Mus musculus: one gene and its partner. The protein of the gene in region 1 purifies or fractionates together with the protein of each later gene. This does not show direct contact. Links are inferred from orthologs where the notes say so. Each region holds a gene or a part of one and is shown on either strand. Other genes may lie near its edges.

Region 1 (6,442 bases):
CCTGCTCTCGCTGCATCAGGAAGACCAAGAGAATGTCAACCCCGAAAAACTGGCGCCAGCCCAGCAGCCGCGGGCGCAGGCGGTGCTGAAGGCCGGGAACGTGCGTGGACCCGCGCCGCAGCAGAAGCTCAAGACTCGACGGGTAATAGGGCGCGGGGGTCTGGAGGAGGGCCGGGCGGGAGCGGTCCTGGGTTTAGCAGCCCAGAGGGCCGGAAAGCACGCTGAGCATTCCAGGGGGAGTCAGGCTGCAGTCTTCGCGGTCCGGGCGTTTCTAGTACCAAATAGTCCCACGAGCTCTGCCGACCCGTGTAGACCGCCCTTCGGCACTAGTGGCGCCGCGTTCCAAAAAATGCCCGGGGTCATACCAAGCGTTGCCACTCGCGTGTCGACTTCCCCCAGCTGTGTACCTTTCCCTCCACTTTTAAAGCCAGGCATTGCATTAGGATGTAGATCCCTTCCCCCTCACCATCTGCTTCCCAGATTACTACTTCAGGGAAGGACATAAAGCAAGTATTCTTCGTGGTAAATTCCGCCATTTTAGCCAGACTTGCTGTTTTGCTCCACCCTGGGGCTAAAGTTGTGAATCAGTTCTTTGCCCTAACTTTAGTCTTTGATTAGTTTGGAATTCCAGTCCGTTCTATTTATAGCCTTTGTAGAAATGGCTGTGACAGATCGGTTTACACACCTTTACCTGGGCTTTGCCTCATGGACTTATATGTTTCTTAGAGTATTTGGAATTAAAAGCTGATACCCACCGGGCTAGAAGCAAAGTTGTATTGAAAAAGATTCCTCCTCTTTAGGTTGCTCCTCTTAAGGACCTTCCTATAAACGATGAGCATGTCACTGCTGGTCCTTCATGGAAAGCAGTCAGTAAACAGCCTGCCTTCACCATTCATGTGGATGAAGCAGAAGAGACTCAGAAGAGGCCAGCTGAGCTTAAAGAAACAGAGTGTGAAGATGCCCTGGCTTTTAATGCAGCTGTCTCTTTACCCGGAGCAAGAAAACCACTGACACCTCTTGACTATCCAATGGATGGCAGTTTTGGTAAGGTTGCTTTTTATTTTTACCAGTCTCTCTTCCTTCTTTCCCTCCTTTCTGTCTTTTTATTCCCCCTCTGGGTTTCTTGAGTATCCTTGACTGTCCTGAAACTCAATCTGTAGACCAGGCTGACCTTGAACTAAGAGATCCACCTACCTCAGCCTCCCAAGTGCTGGGATTAAAGGCATGTGCCACAACCACCAAGCCTGTGCCTTTTATTTTTGAGACAGGATCTCAACCTGTAGCTTATATCTTGATATTTTGAGTTTTAAGATTATGTCTTACCCGATCATACACAGTGAGTTAAGATTACCGCAATCTCATGACTAGTACTGACCTATGAAAGGACTCAAATCTTTAACCGGCAGGAGGGCACTGCAAACCAACATCAAGTTTAATTAGATCGTAAATATCTATCTTAATCTGACTTTATAAATGTTTGGCTAGGAGAATAGATTTCAGTTTTGTGTCTGACTCACTCCTTAACATGCCAGCCCTAAGAGTGCTCCTTGAGGCTACAGTTTTAAGCATTGTGATATCTACCATTCGTTTAAAACTTGTTTGAATGTTCATCAGCTTGTAGGTCAGACACATGGAAGGCAAAATAGCTGCGGTAGACAGCTCTGCGGTTGCTATGACATCACTGCATGGAGACCAGAGATACTGGTATCTGTCACATTCTACCTTATGCTGTGTGTGTCAGCAGAAGGGGTGTGCTTGCCTGTGCTGGTACAAGTAGAGACTAGTGGAGTACTTGACTTTGGGGTATCTTCAACCACTCTTCCATCTCATTTCTTGATAAAAGGTTTCTTTGGAGCTCAGCGATTTGGCTAGACAGCCTGGCCATCGAGGCACAGGGATATGACTATTTTCAACCCTTTTCCTCTCCCACTCCTGGGGTTACAGATAATGCTTCTGTGTGGTGCTGGGAATGCAAGCCATATCTTCATTCAGGCATATGCAGCAGGCACTGCACTAAGCCATTTCCAGCCGCTTTAGTTTACTTAGTTCTGCTGATGGGGAAGGAGGATATGGAAACAGTTTATTACACAGATTCTCCCATCTCAAGATAACTGAAATGGTAAAAACTAGAGCTGAGTATATTAATGCCTATAAACAGCACTCAGGAGGCTGAGGCAAGATTGCCAGCCTAGGGCAACAGAGTCAGTTTCAGGCCAGTTTAGCCTATAGAATGAGACCCAATTTTAACAAACACCAAGTCCCTTACAGATCAGTGTTTGGACATGATATGACAAACTTGATATCTTTACTAACATTTGTTAATCATGCCATTTACCTGATTCTAATGACTCCCTCATTATGATCTGACTATGGCAACCCATGGGATCTGCAGTCTCTCTTAAGGCAAAAATAATTATTTTAAAACTTTGCTGTTACGTTCTTGTCCTAAAAGAACCATTGTTTCATCTGCTCATCTCTGTGGAGGATGATACTTTAAAGTAATTCTCCGTCTTCTTAGTAGCCTATTGGTGTACATACATGCATACATTTATTTCTGTTTTGGAACTAAGGTTATCCTAGAGCTTTGACAAAAGTCCTAAAACCAGAATTAGATGTTCTATGTTGCTTTGCTATTAGGGTGTTTTTGATTGGAAGAGATAAATACTTTGGTTTTAATCTCACACACACAGAATCACCACATGCTATGGATATGTCTATTGTCTTAGAAGACAAGCCAGTGAACGTTAATGAAGTACCTGACTATCAAGAAGACATTCACACGTACCTTAGGGAAATGGAGGTAAGGCTCTGCTCATTACAAATGGCTAAGTGAAGCAGAGAGGGTAATGCTGACGCCTGCTAACTACTAGCAAGTTACTCTAAACTTAAGATTATGGTGTATGCTTCTTTGTGAATGATGAAGTCACCTGATAATTATGTTAACTCTGATTCCCCCCCCCCCCTTCAGGTTAAATGTAAACCTAAAGTGGGTTACATGAAGAGGCAGCCAGACATCACTAACAGCATGAGGGCCATCCTTGTGGACTGGCTGGTTGAGGTGGGAGAAGAATATAAACTACAGAATGAGACCCTGCATTTGGCTGTGAACTACATTGATAGATTCCTCTCCTCCATGTCTGTGTTAAGAGGGAAGCTTCAGCTTGTAGGCACGGCTGCTATGCTGCTAGCTTCGTAAGTCCACCTAGTTTGGTTCAGAGTCATCATTCACTACTACTCCCCCCACACCCCCATTTATATATTTTTTGGATGTTTTGCCTGCATGTATATCTGTAGCACATGTGAGGTCCCTGCTGAGGCAGAAGAGGTCATTGGGTCCCCTAAGCTTGGTGTTATATACTGTTAAGAGCACCATGTGGGTGCTGAGAATTGAACCTGGGTCCCAGCCAATACTCTAACCATTGTACCATCTCTTCAACACCCAGTTTTAGGAATGGCTGTGGGATGATTCTGAACAGAGAGTGAAACTTATTTTCTAATCTAATATATAAAGCTTTCTAGATCTGGATTTCACATGCCTTGAATGAGCATAGGCCAACCACATTTTATCACACTAGATTGAGTTTGAAAGTGTGGCTCTTCTACAATAAAGTGCTTTCTGGGGTATAAGCTGTATCTTCCTTCTATCAGGAGATATTGTATGCAGGGGGCGAATCAGAAGTCCTTTAGTGACTTGGGCCTTTGAATTGGTTTTAACCATCTCAGCTAGAGATGTCAGTCAGCTGTCAGTGGGATGTGGTTGATGGAAGTGAGTGGAGTCTACAGTCTTTGCACTTCAGATTAAGACAAGACCTTCTGAATAAACTCACTCACAACTGCTTTTGTTATAGGAAGTTTGAAGAAATATACCCCCCAGAAGTAGCAGAGTTTGTGTATATTACAGACGATACCTATTCCAAGAAGCAGGTTCTGAGAATGGAGCACCTAGTATTGAAAGTCCTTGCTTTTGACTTGGCTGCACCAACAGTAAATCAGTTCCTTACCCAGTACTTCCTGCACCTGCAGCCTGCAAACTGTAAGGTTGAAAGCTTAGCAATGGTAAGTCCAGTTTGGGGGTTGTTTTTAGGTTGCAATTAAGGGGCAAGCACTGGTTTCGTCAAATAACACTGCTTAAGTCTTTTCGGACAGTTAATGCTCCAATACACAGAAAATGCTATGGCCCTCTCTACCTGTGGGCTCTGCACTTATGGTATAATAAACAGGCATTAAACGTAGCTGCCCATGTACTGGATAAGCACACACCAATCATATGTGTATTGTCTATTTTGTTTTACAAGTAATTCAGTGATATTCTATGTATATAGCATTAACTTATGAAAATAGCATGCATCTTTTATATGTAAGAGATTTAAGTATCTAGTGTCCATGGATAGGGGCTGAGAGGTTCAGGAGAGAACTTCCCAATGAATACACAAAAGTGACCATGCTGGAAAGGCGCTAACTAGTGGCTTAAAGAGAACAACCTAGTATATTAGGGGAGAGAAATGTAAGCTGAGAATAGAGGAAAACATTGAAATAATTTTCCCAGGGCTGATACAGAACCAGTGAGATCCAAGACAATGGAAACTGGTCAGGAAGCAAGGATTCAAAATCTTGAGTCTTATGTGTGATTATAAAAGTTGGGGTTTTGTTTTGTTTTTTATTTCAGTTTTTGGGAGAACTGAGTTTGATAGATGCTGACCCGTACCTTAAGTACCTGCCTTCACTCATTGCTGGAGCTGCCTTCCACTTGGCTCTCTACACAGTCACAGGACAGAGCTGGGTGTGTATTACCAGTTGCCTTCTCCAGTATGGGTGCCGCTTTGATTTGGGCTGAAAGCTTAGCTGTAAAGGTGCACTGAAAGCTCTGCTTCAAGAATCTGAGCCTTCCACCTGCTGCAAGCAGGGGAAGTAAACAGCCAAAATAAAAGATGGAGTGAGTGAGCTGAAACAGGGGGGACACCCTGAGTGAAGAATTGAGGAGGGAGCAACATTTAGAAATAACAAAACATCCTGTCAATGATTAGTGCCAATATTTAGATCAACTGTGAGCTTGTGGTCAGTGCCCTGTGCTGTTACAAAAAACTCAATGGTTGTCCCTTCCCTAGCCTGAGTCATTGGCACAACAGACTGGATATACCCTGGAGAGTCTTAAGCCTTGTCTTGTGGACCTTCACCAGACCTACCTCAAAGCGCCACAACATGCCCAACAGTCAATACGGGAAAAGTACAAGCATTCAAAGTAAGAATCCAATTCTTGTTGAATACAGTAACCTGCCACTACCTCAGTTGGCTCTTAAGTCATGTATTAGGAAGCTTTTGTGCCTTTGCTTCTGGTAAGAGAAGGGTAAGGGGGCAGATGTATGTGCTCTACGTATCAAATGTTTTTAAATTCATAATCAAGTAAAAGTAGCATTTCTCCAGTCTTGGGGTACATGAATTGTTCTGTAATCTCCCCAATGAATGTTTACTAAAAGTTTTTTTTTTCTCTGCTCAACAGATATCACAGTGTTTCTCTTCTCAACCCACCAGAGACACTAAGTGTGTGAGTGAAAGACTGCCGGCTTTGTTTGAAACAGGAGTCGCTCGGAGTCCATGCTGTACAGTTTTTATGTCGGGTTTTAGTTTCACAATCACTTCTGAATGTAGATGGTATAGCCACAGACAAATTATGGTATCCATTGCTTTTAAAATGGTTTTAATTTGTATATCTTTTGTACATGTGTCTATTTGGATAATTTTAATTGGTTAACATTGGTGCTGCCAACTGTCAAGATATTGAGAATAAACTGATTTGGAAATCTTTGCAAGTCAAAGTTAATCTGAGATAAAAATATGAATGATGTCGTTTAGAAACTAACTTGATTTGTTTTATTGTACAGTGGGGAGTAGGAAAAGATTTTATAAAACTAAAATATTTCAGGGAAAAAGACCTTCAAATTCTGGCATTGATTGATTATTCTAAGCAACCAAACCAAACTGCTGACTTGTTCATAAATAACCAAAAGTAGACAAACTGTTTTCAATGTAGCAGAACTCATTCGGCTCTCAGATGTTACAGTAGTTTATGGAGACATTTTATTTATCAACTTTAACAAATAAGGTCTTACATGAGTTGGGAAGCTTGTGCAACAGAAAAGTTTTCCAGAAAGTTTATTCAAAGCATAATGTTAAAGACAAACAGTGTATCAAGAAGTTCAGCTTGTAAGATACCCAGAGCTGTTAGCACTGAGTATGTATACACACACACACACACAGAGATCCACCACTTTAGCTTAGTTAGCAGTTCTCTTCTTCTTCTTCCTTTTCCCTTGGCCTTTACTTGGTGCCTTCTGGTTTGCACTGGTCTGAGCTCTGTGAATGAAGTAATATAACAGCTCACTGTATCCCATCTGTCCTGGATTGGGTCACTGGGACTCTGAAAGGTGCCCCATTTTATAGAACC
Region 2 (7,656 bases), on another chromosome or scaffold:
GGCCAATATAAGTTGCACAAAAATGAAAGGCATTTTATTCTGTAGGGGTAAATTTCTAGCAGAATACTTGTTATTGAGCTATCTTCTAGGAATAGGACCTTAAAATCTAAAAAGTCATGAAGCAACTCTTGGTCTATAGGATATAGGTAGAAAATATTCATGTACTGGAAAGTATACTCAAAGAGCAAGACCATACCCAAGTAAAAAAATATTCTCTCCTGTTAAATAGACTGGTGGTATTAGGATAGCTAGAACAGCAAGAGAAAGTCAGAGGCAGTCTAAAAGGGAGTTATATGTAACTTATATGTAAGAGTAAGGAGCCTAGTCCCAGAATTAGTTGTCACCTCAACCTGAGATTACTAAACTTTTAGTACTGGGGCTTGGAGGGGGGGGAACCAAACTAAGTTAATGTGTTCCCTGTTATTCAATACTAAATCTGTAGTACTTGTATATATTCCAGTTTGCTTCACGCTCCAAATTAAAAGCAAAAATATGCCTTTGGAACTTCATGTGACCGTTGGTTTCCCAGTAAAGTGCATTTCCAGAACGTTAGGAAGCACTTAAGTCTTTAGTATCAAGCCATTATCAACACAATTTTTCCTTTCTGTGGAAAACCCACACTAATCTTTTTTTCCCCCCAAAGACAGGGTTTCTCTGTATAGCCCTGGCTGTCCTGGAACTCACTTTGTAGACTAGGCTGGCCTCGAATTCAGAAATACGCCTGCCTCTGTGCTGGGATTAAAGGCGTGCGCCACCACACCGGGCTCCCCCCCACCCCCCAGTAATCTTTTTTTCCTACTAATGGATCTAACATATAATTTAATGAACAATTAAGCTAAACCAGTAATGTATAAGTATTATACAGAAATCTTAGAATCTCATGGAGACTTAGCCATATCTATCACTAATGACTCAGCTGTTTCTTTGAGACCCGCCCCCACTCCTTATCATGCTGCAGTGGAAACTGGCCTCAAACTATCTTTTTGCCTTAGGCTCCCAAGTGCTACAATTACAGAATTGGGTACAACATCCATCCAGGTGTTTCTTTCTAATGAATTGACCATTAGACTTACAAATTTCTGCAATGGCCAACAGACCATAGAAAGATATTTCTTTAGGCTCCTGCTTGAAACCAACAGCTTCAGTAAACTGCGGCCTTGATTCAGGGCCAAAACAAACAAACACAATTTTAACACATATATACACAAGCAAATTTGTACCCTAGCCTGCATAAAGCATTGTCACCACAAAGTATCTCTAAATTTCAGCCTCACTTTAATTACCCCTGGTTTTAACTTTACACAAAGTTAGCAATTAACATTTTTTGACCAGTATAAGTCAAGTCTGAGATGGAGGTGCAAATTCAGCTCTGGACTTTTGGAATTGGGATAGTGCAGTCCATAGTCCACTCTAAGCACCAAACTGCCCATAACAGGTTTTAAGCTGTGGATTTGAGCGCAGATAATCCTTAACCAGCTTTACCACAAGGCCGATGACTACGTGCCATCACTGCCATTTCCAGGCACATATTAAATAAATATTCTTACCCACACAAGTTACCACTCATTCTTGAAATACTGCTTAATGTTTTTGTTACTGTTACTGCTTTGCTGCTATATATCATAGTGGAGGAAGGAAGGATTGCCAAGTTTCAGGGCACCTATTTGAGTTCAGAGAGACTTCCAATAATCAAGACTGTACAAAATAACCCATGACCTTATCTTTCCACTGATATCAGTCTTTGTTGTTGTTTCTGGGGTTTTTTTCCCCGTTTTTTTTTTTTTTTTTTTTTGAGACAGGGTTTCTCTGTATAGTCCTGGCTGTCCTGGAACTCACTCTGGGATCAGGGTGGCCTTGAACTCAGAAATCTGCCTACCCCTGCCTCCCAAGTGCTGGGATTAAAGGCGTGCACCACCACTACCGCCCGGCCACTGATATGCCTTAAGTGACAGACATTATGCTTGTCAATTAGCTTTCACAAACAGTACTGTCTCTACAAGGCATTCAGATACAAGGAGCCTCAAGTATCTCCTACCTGATAAGTCATGTCAAGAGGCTGCACTTCATATGGGGTCATTTATAATGTACATGATTTTATTTGTATATTACTACTGATCATGTACCAGGAAAACTATTCTCAGAACCCAGTTTTTGTTGGAATACAAAAAGTGCAATATATGACTCAAGTGCAAAGAAATCCTCCATTTTATTTCTGTAAGGACAGGCTGGGCCTGATGACACACAGGTCCCTCCCCGGACTAGTAAGGCAGATGCAGCTAGAGCTGTCTACATGGAGTTCCAGGACACCCTGGGTTATGGAGACTCCCTCAAAAATGCCCAAAAGGACTCCCATGATATTTGAGGAGCAGTCTACTCTGTTCCTAGTAATCACCCCTTCACAAAATCACTAAGTTTTGAACTTTATCCAACACACATAGTTCTACTATAAACAAAACACCCTAGACTCACACCTCTGTGTCATATCACCAGTACACAGTCCCTGTCAAGAGCACCTCTCTAATTCTTTTGTAAAGGTTGGTCAGTTAAGCTCAAGCTAGTGTGGCAACACACCCACCATCTCAGCAACTGCTAAGGCAGAACAGCAAGCTTAAACACTTCATGTTTCAAAATAAAACACTTTTTTTGACCTCTGGATTCCAGTGGGTAATAAACTAGCTCCTACTTTATATTGGAGTAAAATACTTAAGACAGACCAGCAGTTGCTCCCCAAAACACGCACAACTTATATACTCCAAGTTTAGAAACTAAAACTATCTCACTTTGACAACTAAAGAAATGTATATAAACCCATATGCTAAACATTTCCATCCAAATAATTATTTGCCTAATTTAGAAAGACAGTACAATTACTTTCGGTCATTTTTGGATATTTCCAAACCAAGTTCTGAGTTACTATAACGACCAAATATTAAGCCAATTATCACATGGTTACCATTGTGAAGTTTGTAATTACTATGTAAAGACTGTTATGTATTTAAATTTTTTAGTAAGGGGGAAAAAAAAAACCCATGAGACTTCCCTACTTAAGAACATTCAAGTTTATAGCATTAGTGCATCGTCAAACAGCCTGGAAAAAGTTTTCTGGCTGTGAAGACTTCTACACTAGCGGACTGAGAGAATGGGGGGTGGGGCGGTGAAGCCACTCTTTTAAAAAGTGTCTCATCCCTCAAACAGCATTCTGGACACTAACCTAAAAGGGCAGCAAACAGAAAACAAGGTCACTATTTGCCCAAGGGAGGAACAGGTTTTACCCACCTGGAGTCCTTGACTGTGTCCCAGAATGCAACGCTCTAATCCCAACCCAGAAGAACCCAGCGACGGAAAGGCCTTTGAAACCACACCCCAAGTCATAAGGGATACAATAAAGTTAACTACAATCCTCCCTTACTTTCCACAATCCCATTTGCTAATTATATTAACGTAGGTACTACCTTCCTGCGCATCTCAGGATTTAAAACTCAAAACTTCCTCAAAAGCCCCAAACGTGGCCAATATGGACTAGCAGTTGAAGGTAACGTAGCCACCACCACCCCAATCCTTCCGAAGGCAATCTCGAGTTTTCAATTTGATCTTGAAGCCCTTTAACAACGCCCCGTGTTACAGCGTCTGGAGCCGTTACCCATCAGACACTCGATAATGCCCGTCGGGTGCGTTTCCGGGGACTTCCCCTCCCGGCCAGTCCGGGCCAGTGCGGTTTGCGGTCGTGAACTCCCAGACTAGGCGCTGCCCACCCATCTAACGACTCCCCATCTCCTGCGATCCCCGCAACACTACACAAAGCAAGGCTGCCCGGACGGACGGAGGCCTCTAAGGGGGTCCGAGTCCCGACCACCAGGTCTGACCTCCCAGCGCGGCCCTCCTCCGCAGGCGCTCCTCACCGGTACTCGTAGTGCTCATCGAAGTACTTGTCTGAGTAGTAGATCTGCTTGTGGGCCATCCTGCCGGCGCGCAGAGGAGTAAGCGGGATCAGGAAACCGGGCGCAAGGGGCTCTACGTCCGCCTAGGGCCGACGCAACGACTCGAATGAGGCCAACGACCGCAGGCCCAACGCTCTGGATTTGAATCCGACAGCCCTCCGCCGATTGGGCGAAGCCACCAACCAATCACGCTCCGCGCAGACCTCGAGGACAGGTAACCAATCAGAAGCCTGTTGCAAGATTGCGAGGGCGGGAGTAAGGATTGGCTAACGATTCAGCGAGGAGCGCCCGGCGACCCCAAGAGATATTGAGAAGGGCGGAGCCGAGTCGTTAAGTGCCTCGCAGCGCGTGCGCAGTGGTTTAGAACGTGCCTGGGGGCAGAACCGTTGGGTGGTGGGCGGACACGAGATGAGGTATCCGGGGCTCTGGGGGCCGGAGCGGCACGAGACGCCTGGGGGGCGGTCTCTGTGGTCAGGGAAGTCCAGCTGCGGAGCGTTCCAGAGGGTAAGGTGCCCTCCGCTGCCCCTGATGGCAACGCTAATTACGCTTGGCTGCGAGCTAGTCCCATCTTAAAAAGATGTGCTCATGTAAAAGGAAGTTGAAAGGGTGTTAAGTCGTGGTTTCGTGCAGCAAGTTACATATAACAACCATTTTCTACAATGAGCAGGTGTCATTTTTCTTTTAATATTTTTGCGATTTGTTGCAGTGGATGAATTGCTCTGGTGTGGCTGTTAGGATAACAAAGTAACCCACGGCAGCTGGGCGTACTGGCCCACACCTTTAATCCCTGTACTCCAATGCCAGGTCAACACCCCTCCCTCCTCCTTTTTTTTTTTTAGTTTGGTTTGGTTTTTGTTTTTTCGGAGACTGGCTTTTCCTGTGTAGCTCTGGCTGTCCTGGAACTCACTCTGTAAACCAGGCTGGCCTCGAACTCAGAAATCCATTTGCCTCTGCCTCCCAAATGCTGGGATTAAAGGCGTGCGCCACCACCGCCCGGCTGTTTTTTGTTTTGTTTTGTTTTGTTTTGTTTTTGAGACAGAGTTTCTCTGTGTAGCCCTGGCTATCCTGGAACTCGCTCTGTACACCAAGCTGGCCTCAAACTCAGCGATCCTCCTGCCCCTGCCTCCCCAGTGCTGGGATTAAAAGTGGATGCCCCATCACCGTCCAGCTTCAGCCTAATATCTTTAACAGATGGTAGGATAGCAAAGTGTGATCCTGTCTAAAATAATAAAAACGGAAGTCAGCATGTAACTACAATTTTATTTTTTTATAGAGTTGGGTAATCAGGTGCCTGCAATCTTTTAACGACAGGTTTCCCGACTTCACTTGGCCCTCAGTTAAAGAGAACACAAGATCGTCTGACTTCTTGCACAACTTTAAAGTTATTTTTAGCACTAAAATAATAAAGGTGCTAATTGCCTACCGATATTATCACGTGAGACAACAGGTGGGATTAAAATTTCAACATGTAAATAGGAGGATGTAAGCATACACTCTATAACACAAATAATATGGAGGTATGAGTTCTGTTCTGAAAGATCTTTAATTACTATCTAAGCAGTGGTTCTCAACCTTCCTGATGCTGCAGCCCTTTGATGCAAGTGGTGATCCTTAACTTTATAATATTTTGTTGCTACTTCATAACTATAATTTTGCCACTGTTATGAATTGTAAATCTCTGATACTCAGCTCCCATGGGAGTCTAGTAGATTGAGAACAGCTGATCTAGAGAAAGTGCCCTGCTTTCCAAGTCTCCACTGATAGGGAATCCTTTAGATCTCCTGCTCACCAGAACGGACATTGGCTTACACATTGTTTCCCTGCACTATTTATTCTCCATGCAGTGAATGTAGAGAGCATACTTACTTTGTTTATTATCCATGTCTAGAGCACAGTAGAGTCCCTGTGCATGGTGGATACTCAATAATGAGGTTCTTAAAAAATATACCAGCCAGCCGTGGTGGCGCGAGTCTTTAATCCCAGCACTTGGGAGGCAGAGGCTTGAGTTTGAGACCAGCCTGGTCTACAGAGTGAGTTCCAGGACAGCCAGGGCTACACAGAGAAACCCTGTCTCAAAAAACCAAAAAAAAAAAAAAAAAAAAAAAAAGAAGAAGAAGAAGAAGTAGTCGTCGTCTCTATTCCTAGATAAATAATCTGGGAAAGGAAAAGGAAATCTTTATAGCAGATGTATTTTGAAAGACAGTTGCCAGGCATGTTGGCTCACTCTCTTATCCCATAGGTCAGGAGGCTAAGACAAAAGGATTGCTAAGAGTTCAAGGTCTCTCTGGGTTACATAGTACCAGTCAGCTAAAGTTAACAAAGTGAGATTGTGTTCTCAAGAAACAAATGAGAGGCTGGGCAGTGGTGGCCCACGCCTTTAATCCCAGCACTTGGGATTAAAGTAAGTAAGTAAGTAAGTACTATAAAGCAAAAAGTATTCTAATAGATGCAGAAAAATAATAAAATTCACATACATATAATTCAAACTCAATAAGTCTACCTACCAGGCACTGATTAATACTACTCAGAAATTATAAGAAGGGGAAAGTTTAACTGGGAAGAGTATCCATAGAGACCGATGTTAACATAATTCTTATCAAGAAACATTAGAAGTAGTCCCTTAAGGTTTCTCTGTTAGCTTTGTCAACAGCAGGAAGTTCAACTTGCCAGTGTAGACAGTGTATCCTCAGTCCCTCTCAGGAACCTCATCCTGTGTACCTGCGTCCTTGATGTCCGCCACAGTAACAGATCCCTGAAAGGGAAGTTACACATTTACAAACTAGGCAGCAAAAACACACCCTTGAAGAGTTAGTTACATGCAAGTGTTACTGCCCTTACCCAATAGAATAGTCTAAGTGACATCTGAGACTAGTCCCTAGGAGGCGTAACAGCTTCGACTTTCTCCGGGAAAGCTTGCTTTCATCTGGAAGACCTATAGGGAAGAGTCGTCTTTTGATTAGTGCCAGCTGCCTTGAATTCAGTACAAACAGAGAGAAATGAAGCAATGGCCCAATCCTGTGAGTTCAAATATCCAACACTCATGTAAAGAGCCGGTGCGGCCATGCATGGCTGTAACCCCTGCGTTATAAAGGGGGGGTGGGGTGGGGGAGTGGAGGCAGGGCGATTGCTGAGGCTTGTTTGCCTCCAGTCTAGTCCTAGGTTCATAGATCCTGTCTCAAAGGGAATAAGGCCAAGAATAGTAGAGCAAGACATTCAGCTTTCTCCTTCAGCTTCCGTATGAACACCACTAACACACATTCACACCACACACACACATACACTTTTAGGCTAGAAAGATGGCTCAGTAGGTTAAGGTGTTTGCCACTACTCTGGTAACCCGAGTCCAGCCCAGAGGACACAAACGGTGAAAGGAGATAAATGCCCCTACAAAGCTGTCTCCTGTCTTTCCCTCATGCCAGAACACAAGCACCTCGCCCGATAGATAAATGTAAATAAATAAAAGGAATTAAAGCTCTTTCTCTGTGCACGGTTGACAGTTCTTTTACCTTCTGTTTACTAGTGTGTGTTAGATTGGCTCATTGTCACTAAGTTCACTGTTGCCTTTCAGTGTATGGAATATTAATTGTACAAAATGAAGGGCTACATCGTATTTTCTTAACCGTGTATCAAACTTGTTACTTGCTTATAGTCACTAAAAATACTAAAAACTAAAAACAGAACTGTCCTAGGATCTTGAGATACTTGACAAGATGCAATT

What was found.
Region 2: the proteins of Ccna2 (region 1) and Cks2 purify together in Homo sapiens (affinity purification with mass spectrometry; 3 studies listed by BioGRID and IntAct, counting the BioPlex papers as one, with this or other methods). This does not show direct contact. The link is inferred for Mus musculus from reciprocal best matches to the Homo sapiens genes CCNA2 and CKS2.

The regions. Positions count from the first base shown.
Region 1 is NC_000069.6:36,565,338-36,571,779, reverse strand, and holds part of Ccna2 (cyclin-A2), read left to right. Parts: coding exon 1-142; intron 143-800; coding exon 801-1,044; intron 1,045-2,690; coding exon 2,691-2,800; intron 2,801-2,968; coding exon 2,969-3,192; intron 3,193-3,848; coding exon 3,849-4,056; intron 4,057-4,666; coding exon 4,667-4,780; intron 4,781-5,105; coding exon 5,106-5,239; intron 5,240-5,497; coding exon 5,498-5,546; 3' UTR 5,547-6,272; coding exon of another isoform or gene 6,273-6,351; 3' UTR 6,352-6,442. Other genes in the region: Exosc9 (exosome complex component RRP45), read right to left, coding at 6,273-6,351. UniProt on the Homo sapiens protein: Cyclin which controls both the G1/S and the G2/M transition phases of the cell cycle. Functions through the formation of specific serine/threonine protein kinase holoenzyme complexes with the cyclin-dependent protein kinases CDK1 or CDK2.
Region 2 is NC_000079.6:51,641,715-51,649,370, reverse strand, and holds the start of Cks2 (cyclin-dependent kinases regulatory subunit 2), read right to left. Parts: upstream 4,140-7,656; 5' UTR 3,959-4,139; coding exon 3,900-3,958; intron 1,173-3,899; exon of another isoform or gene 1,037-1,172; intron 1-1,036. UniProt on the Homo sapiens protein: Binds to the catalytic subunit of the cyclin dependent kinases and is essential for their biological function.